Linked DNA regions of Kluyveromyces lactis. The protein of the gene in region 1 purifies or fractionates together with the protein of each later gene. This does not show direct contact. Links are inferred from orthologs where the notes say so. Each region holds a gene or a part of one and is shown on either strand. Other genes may lie near its edges. The genes, in order: RPN10, RPT2 and PRE7.

Region 1 (2,455 bases):
GAACGCAGATCCTTGCATTTGAGAGCTGACGCCGATACTCAAAGTATTATTTCTAATTGTAACATTCGTACCAGAAGTTGCATCAGATGAACCGGTACCTTGAAAGTTATACCTTGCAGAAGATTTGGTGCTGATGGCATCGCTTTGCACTGATGACAGGGCATCCCTGTCCCTTGGAACAGGCCTTGATCCTGACCTTAGGTTAGAAAATATAAGTTCCCCGGGAGGCATGTCTTAAGGAAGACGACTAGGGATCCTTGACAATTGATCAATTTCACTGCTTCTACAATGCAAACTGGAGAAAAAAAGTACAATGAGGTTGAGTGGATGAGTTTTCTTCATCCATATGTGTTTTGTCTTGTCTGCATCTTGATATTTTTCAAATTATTGGTTTTTTCGTAGATTATTGTTGAAAGGGTACAAAATATATATCACGTGAATAGGACAATGTTCATACATGGACATGTTCGAAGCTTAATAGTTAATACCATGAGAACTTGCAGTAAACCATGAACTGAAGTTGGCTTTCTCGATATTGGGAGAGGGTACAATATTAAGAAGTTGAGTTGTTAAAGGGCCATGTTATGACGATTTACTGGGTCATTAGTATACAGAATAGATACCTATATGAGACGGAGGTTGTTAAGAATGCGGAAGTTTAAAGGAATGACTTACTCTGTCGAGTTTTGTCTTATGCGTTCCTGTCTTTCCTGTTCTTCTTGCATAGATAAGCGCAATGCCATTGCCAATTCAGGATCTAGGGATGGATCAACACCAAAGTCCATAAAATCGTCATTACCTCCCATTGAGAAGCCAGCCTCAGCAGCAGGACCTTCAAGTACAATAGGCGATGCTGCTACATGCTCGTAGAGTAGTTTGGGGCCTGCATCAATGTTCAAAAGAGTAGATTTACTATCCTCTTGCCCACTGTTGACCGTTTCTACGAATTCCTCCAATAGGTCAGCGTTCGTATCAGTTTCACCGAAATTGATAACATCAACCGCAATGCTATTTTTCTTCAACTTCTTTGCCATCTTAATCAAATCCTGTCTATCCTCAGTGATTGGACTACAAACGAATATAATAATCCTTTGACGCTGTACTCTATTTTGTCTATGTTTCAAAGTCAATGCAGCAATCTGTATGGCAGTGGCAAAATGGATGGACCCTCCAATATTGATATCATGTAGTCCGCTCAAGATCTTACCGAATTCGTTTGTGAATGTGGATAAAACTTTTGGGTTTGCCTCGGCAGCAGATACCAACCCTATAGTGTTCTCTGGATTACTGTTTCTTTTCGCCTGGAAAATATACTCAACGGCATCAACTTGTGCCACAAATCGAGTTCTTGGAAAGTCACCGTTCCTGGCATATTCCGAGTTATCAACAACCAATACAGTAGCTTCTAAAACCATCTCTCTTTCCTTAATATATCTGTTCTAAAATGATTCCAAATAAGAGAATAATTCAATCAAAGACTACAAAAAATTATCTCGCTTTAAAATAGAATAGCGGTACGCAATCTTAATTGATATAGAATGGGTTCAGCAACTTAATTATCCATTAGTTAACCTTCTTTTCCCTGGTGGCAACTGTAGCTAGGAACTACTTCTTTTCTCTATATTAAATATTAACCTAACTTTACTTTGAACCAAATTACCCACTAGATTAATAAATCCGGGTAATAAAAATCCAATCTCTCTTTTTCTTCCCCTTCACGCAGATCAATCTGCAGGGCCTTCTGTCGTTCTCCGTATTATGGCAGAAACTTCGCAAACTCTCTGTCAAAACCAAAAGTTAAGGTTTCGGATCTTTATATAAGTAAACAAACAGGTGAAATAATGAAGATCAAGCACTTGAGATTTTATCCGCCGAAGTGACTAATAGAGAAACAGTGATGAGTACCGGCGAAGATGGTTCCAAAAACGGGCAGCATATTACTGAAAAGCAACGAGAGAAGATTCGAAGTGCGTTAATAACTCGCCAGGAAGAGAAACTGCAAGAGGCCCTGAATGAGATAGAGAGAGTGAAAGGTAACACCAAAGAGATGCTGGAATCTGTGATTTCTACGTGGAAAGAGAAGGCTAAATTGAGGGATGGAACTATCCAGGAAACCCTGGACCGTGAAAGGGCTGGTGATGTTTAGAAGTGCATTTAAAATCGTTTAACCAAATCGAAGAACGGATGCCGGGGACTTCAGAACGAACTCCCACGTGACCATGCCTAAGATCGAAAGACTGTTTCCCCCCAATTCTGTGGTGATATTAAAGTGGGCGAGAAATCCAATTAGTGCTCCGGGTGATTAATAGTCACGTGTAATGATTTCCCACGTGATGTTTTTTTGTTGGTCAAGAAGTCTTACCATACACAAACACCACGGTTTTCTTTTTTTTTTTTTTTTTGTTGTGAAAGAGTAATCCACTGTTATCTTACCAGTCAGCAGGTAAACATCTGA
Region 2 (3,275 bases), on another chromosome or scaffold:
TCTGACATGACTTCTAAAAGCAACTCGATATATCCAAGGGTTCTTTAAATGACTTCAATGAATAAAACTAACGTCCAGTGACCTCAGAAAAAAATTGACACGCCTTGAACCCTCACAAATACCAATAATGGAACTTATCCAGTTATATAGCTCCTTGAAAAGACCACAAAGTTTTGTCAGTCCTTAAATATGAACTAATTGAACTTTTATCAAAAAAATTCCAATCAATAATGCAGTTGTTAGAAACGAGATAAGGAAAAAAATTGACAATAACTAATTGTGCTTTCTCTCGCAATCACAAGTCACAGGTTTCTTCACCTCGTATATACTGCAAGGCTCTTGTTAGTTTGCAGTTTATTTCTACTCATCTCATTATACTGTTGTCCTTTCAATCTTTAAAACATTTAAAGTTCAACTTTTCGTAATTTCTATATTTATCGTTTCCCTCTATCTGCCCGAAAAGTTGTGAAAGTGTAAAAGGTTAAAAATACAAACTTAGATTGATAAATCATTGCATAAATGTTGGCGGCAGGGAGATTGAATTTGGATATGTGAAGATATTAAAGATATTAAACTGTAGTATATATATATATATATATATATATATATATGAAGATTAATCCCTACTTATAAGTACAAACCTTCCAAGTTTTCTTCAACCTTATTTTTGAGTACACGTTCTTTTGCTTCCTTGAAATCTTGTGCTGTGACTTGCATTCTTCTTTCTCTTAGAGCCAAAAGCCCCGCTTCTGTACACATTGCTTTGATGTCTGCACCTGATAGGTCATCTTTTGAAGTGACCAAATTATCTAGGTCTACGTCCTCTGCTAAGTTCATCTTAGATGTATGAATACCGACGATTTTTCTCTTTGTTGTTATATCGGGGTTTTCGAACAAAATCTTACGGTCGATTCTTCCGGGTCTGATCAAAGCTGGATCTAAACTTTCGATTTTGTTTGTAGCCATGATGACTTTCACATCACCTCTATCATCAAACCCGTCCAATTGGTTTAAAAGTTCCAACATAGTTCTTTGAATCTCTTTCTCACCGCCACTGTTTGATTCATATCTCTTGGTACCAATAGCATCGATTTCATCGATAAAGACTATACTTGGCGCATTCTCTGCAGCGACTTTGAAAATTTGTCTACAGAGTCTTGGACCGTCACCTAGATATTTCTGAATCAATTCGGATCCCACAATTCTTAAAAATGTAGCAGAAGTCTGGTTCGCCACAGCCTTTGCCAATAACGTCTTACCTGTACCTGGAGCACCATACAATATGACACCCTTTGGTGGTTTGATACCCATTTCTTCGTATAGTTCAGGATGCGTTAGTGGCAACTCGACTGCTTCTTTAATCTCTTGAATTTGTGCCTCTAATCCACCGATATCACTGTAGTTTTCTGTTGGTGATTTATCCATCTTCATCACAGAAACCATTGGATCGGCATCGTCTTGCAAGACACCAACAACTGACATGGTCTTATGGTGTAATAACACAGAACAGCCGGGTTCTAATAGCTCTTTGTCAACAAAGGACAAAATGGAAACGTAGTAGTCTGGTGTCGTAGGGCTTGTCACTATAGCATGGTCATCGTCCACAATTTCTTCTAAAGTACCAATAGATAACGGAGTACCTCTGATATCGTCTAGCTGCTTCTTTTCTTCCTCTTGTTTCTTCTCAAATGGTTTCAAGATCTCAGAGTTTGTCACATACTCTTCTTCCAATAGCAAATGATCTTTTATACGTTCCATTCTCAAAAGTTTTAACTTACATCTTGTGCTTGGATAAACGCTAGGAAGTTTCTCCACCGTAGAGGGCCCCTTTCTCTTCTTTCTACCGAATTTTGATTCTACTGGTGGCTCATATTTTGGCTTTTGTTTCTTATCCTTTTTCTTCTGCCCATGAGAAGAAGCTCCTTGACCCATTGTTCGTGCTGTAACTTAACTTATACCTTGATGCCTTACTGCCAGCTAATAGTTCGTGCCTCAATGCAACTCGATAATTGGACGGTAACAAGCTGATATACCTAATGTTGTGCTGTTAGGCGTGTATCTTGTAAAGGTTGATCTTTAATTTCGCCACTGGCTTTTCTAATATTTAGTTATTCCAAATCCTGACTTTTGATATAAAATGAAATAATAACAGATGAAAACAGTTTGAATGCTGTGAGTTGGCAAGAAAAAGGTGAAGGAAAGTAGCATCAATACTGCATCTTACCATCGGTATAAGTCTCTATCTTACTAATTTTAACCATGAATGATGACGATGGTGCCAAGCGTGGTAATATCAATGAACTAATCCAACAATTTTTGAGTATTATTCCTGAAGAATTTTTCGAAGAGTATTATAGAAAGAACAGCGATCCTAAGATCAAAGACGAACCGGTTTCTAAATCCAAGGGGACCAGTGCAAATGCTAACAAGCCCACAAAGGGACAAATTCTAACGCAGGCGGTAGAATACGTGAATTCGTTACAGGAACAAGTCGATCTCAAGAACAGAGAAGAAGTCGAGCTGATACTAAGAGTTAAAGAATTGTGCAAGGAAACAGGGTACATTGTCAACGATTTGAACCTTGATAACACAAGCGCGGAGTTAGCGTTGTCCAGAATCGGCGTTGGTCCGTTAGCTGGCATGAGGGAGCAACCGAACAACAAAGGATCTAAAAACCAATTTGCCGGTACCAGTGCCGGAGCCAGCATTGATGCTGCCGCAGGAAATACCACTAGTAAAACCCCTGGCACCGCTGCCATGTCACCTGTGCCGCCAACAGGTTCGGTTGGTCCAGCAGGTATAGCAGCAGCAGCGCCAAAAGAAGGACCCAAGTATAGATTCGAATACGGTGGTTATAGTGAATACAACAATGAACCCTGAAATACAATAAAGAACCAAGTCACGTGTCATGATTAAGTCACGTGATACTATCACAACTGACGAAGAAAACATGGTCCAGCTTCGAATTTTTTCTAAAGCGAAAACACGAAACAAACTAAAACCCCGAAGACATATTTGAAAAGAACATGGCAACCACCTAATTATACCGGGTAGTGACGACCAGCAGACTTATCCGGCGACAGTTTCAGACATTTGGATCCGTGCGCATCCTTGATTGTTGAATTCTAGGTACAAGAGGTGGTAGAAGAGGCGTTGTTTCTCTCTGAAGTGCACTTTCGCCGTCTATCTTTTTTCCTTCTCCTTTGAAGACTAAAGCCAATAATTCTTTTCTTTTTAACTTTAATATCGTAAAGTTTAAGCGAATTGTTCTGGGT
Region 3 (2,096 bases), on another chromosome or scaffold:
CAACTCAAAGAGATATCCAACGAAAATGACCTTGGTTTAGAATATAATGGCGATGAGCTAATTAAACCTACCGAACATGGAACTTTTTTTGTTGAAGTAGTTGTTGGAAAGGACCCAGCTCCACCCGCACCAAACAACGATGCATGGAAACACTTTGCCGGTACAGTAAAATCTTTCTACGAAGATATCGTTTTCCCAACCAAGTTGGAGGAAGATTCAACAGAACTTGTTATCGCCCCAACAATAATGAGTGGGAACACAGATTGCTTGCACTACCTATCCTTGACAGAAAACATCTACAGATTCCAACCTGGATTTGCCAGTAAAGATACCCTTGGTACTATTCACTCTGTCAACGAACATGTGGACTTCGAAACAGTGATGCATACCGTGGCATTCGTTTATCATTACATAAATGCTGTTCAATCGAACTGAATCCATACAATATAACTGTATAGTAGCACAATATCTATGGGTAATTTGCCTTACGTCAAATAATGATATGTTCAGCCATTACTATAACAGACAAATGAGGTCACGTGCTTTAGATTTCTCTTGTTTTAAGTGAACGTACTTTAATATAATAGCAGAAAATAAGTGATATGCTGAACCTTTGCCACCGTTTAAAACATCAGAGCCCAGTAAATTAGCAACCATCTCTAACACTAAACCTAGAAACTCAACAAGCACACCGTACAATAAAATGGCAACAACTGCTTCAGAATACGGAAACGAACTTTCCAAGGTGCCTATTCAACACCAATTTAACCCATATTCTGATAATGGTGGTACAATTCTTGGAATTGCAGGGGAAGACTTCGCCGTTTTAGCAGGAGATACCAGACACACGACAGATTATTCTATCAATTCAAGATATGAACCAAAGGTGTTCGAATGTGAAGACAACATTCTAATCAGTGCGAATGGGTTTGCAGCTGACGGTGAAGCTTTAGTGAAAAGGTTTAAAAACAGTCAAATGTGGTATCATTTCAATCACAACAAGAAGCTAACGATAAAGAGTGCGGCCAGGAATATCCAACATCTACTATACGGAAAGAGAATGTTCCCATATTATGTTCATACCATTATTGCTGGATTAGATGAAGAAGGTAAGGGGGCCGTATACTCTTTCGATCCAGTGGGCTCTTATGAAAGGGAACAGTGCAGGGCAGGTGGCTCTGCGGCCTCCTTAATCATGCCATTTTTGGATAACCAAGTGAATTTAAAGAACCAGTATGAGCCTGATTCTAATGGTACTAAACGCAAAGAAGTTAAATACTTAGGTGTGGAAGAAGTTATCAAATTAGTAAGAGATGCGTTCACATCTGCTACTGAGAGACATATCAACGTTGGTGATGGTCTAGAGATTTTGATTGTCACAAAGGATGGTGTAAGAAAAGAATACTTCGATTTAAAGAGAGATTAAGTTACACTCAATTTTTTTTACGAAATCTTTTTGATAAAGTTTCTGAATCTTAGTGTACAATATATATATATATATAGTAAAATATAAGATAGTGTTTTATTCGCTTCGATCAATCTGAAGAAAGCTTCCGAACTGACTGCAAGTGGAGATGCAAATCCTGTCATCTATTGTGGTAATTCTAAATCTCCACCGAGTTTGATAACCTTCTGATAATAGATGTAGAAGAAATCAGAGTACACTAAAGTTTGAATCACACCGGTGAAAACTGATAATTTATCGAATCTTTCTTCGGTATAATACCTCCATATCCAATTTGGAATGTACAAGGCACGGTATAACCCCAATGCAAAAATATAATGAGATGTCAATTGTTTTGCTTTACCTGTTTTAGTCAACATAAACAATTGAGGAAGGATTGCAACACTTTCCAACCATAGAGAGAAGGACCAGCATATTTGTATAAAACTGAAACGATAATTGAAAATTAATCCTAGGAGAATGCATGGTACTATTAAAAACTTGATTTTAAATTGATCTCTGGTGATCATGTCTTGATATGCGACAGGGTTTTTAAATTTTTGTTGGCGCATTAACACAATGACGTAAACCGAAGATGAAATGAAAACAATTTTCATTAAGAAGTTGTACAAGGAGGTCCATTTGGTAAATA

What was found.
Region 2: the proteins of RPN10 (region 1) and RPT2 purify together in Saccharomyces cerevisiae (affinity purification with mass spectrometry; 5 studies listed by BioGRID). This does not show direct contact. The link is inferred for Kluyveromyces lactis from reciprocal best matches to the Saccharomyces cerevisiae genes RPN10 and RPT2.
Region 3: the proteins of RPN10 (region 1) and PRE7 purify together in Saccharomyces cerevisiae (affinity purification with mass spectrometry, with the first as the bait; 3 studies listed by BioGRID). This does not show direct contact. The link is inferred for Kluyveromyces lactis from reciprocal best matches to the Saccharomyces cerevisiae genes RPN10 and PRE7.

Annotation. Positions count from the first base shown.
Region 1 is NC_006038.1:356,641-359,095, forward strand, and holds RPN10 (proteasome regulatory particle base subunit RPN10), read right to left. Parts: upstream 1,416-2,455; coding exon 672-1,415; downstream 1-671. Other genes in the region: GTPase-activating protein IML1, read right to left, coding at 1-231; KLLA0_B03927g (uncharacterized protein), read left to right, coding at 1,898-2,146. UniProt on the Saccharomyces cerevisiae protein: Multiubiquitin binding protein.
Region 2 is NC_006042.1:1,360,621-1,363,895, reverse strand, and holds RPT2 (proteasome regulatory particle base subunit RPT2), read right to left. Parts: upstream 1,933-3,275; coding exon 628-1,932; downstream 1-627. Other genes in the region: type 2C protein phosphatase PTC1, read right to left, coding at 1-8; RTG1 (Rtg1p), read left to right, coding at 2,260-2,880. UniProt on the Saccharomyces cerevisiae protein: The 26S proteasome is involved in the ATP-dependent degradation of ubiquitinated proteins. The regulatory (or ATPase) complex confers ATP dependency and substrate specificity to the 26S complex. Has ATPase activity.
Region 3 is NC_006041.1:502,198-504,293, reverse strand, and holds PRE7 (proteasome core particle subunit beta 6), read left to right. Parts: upstream 1-703; coding exon 704-1,426; downstream 1,427-2,096. Other genes in the region: KLLA0_E05655g (M20 family metallopeptidase), read left to right, coding at 1-435; ERD2 (Erd2p), read right to left, coding at 1,591-2,096. UniProt on the Saccharomyces cerevisiae protein: Non-catalytic component of the proteasome which degrades poly-ubiquitinated proteins in the cytoplasm and in the nucleus. It is essential for the regulated turnover of proteins and for the removal of misfolded proteins.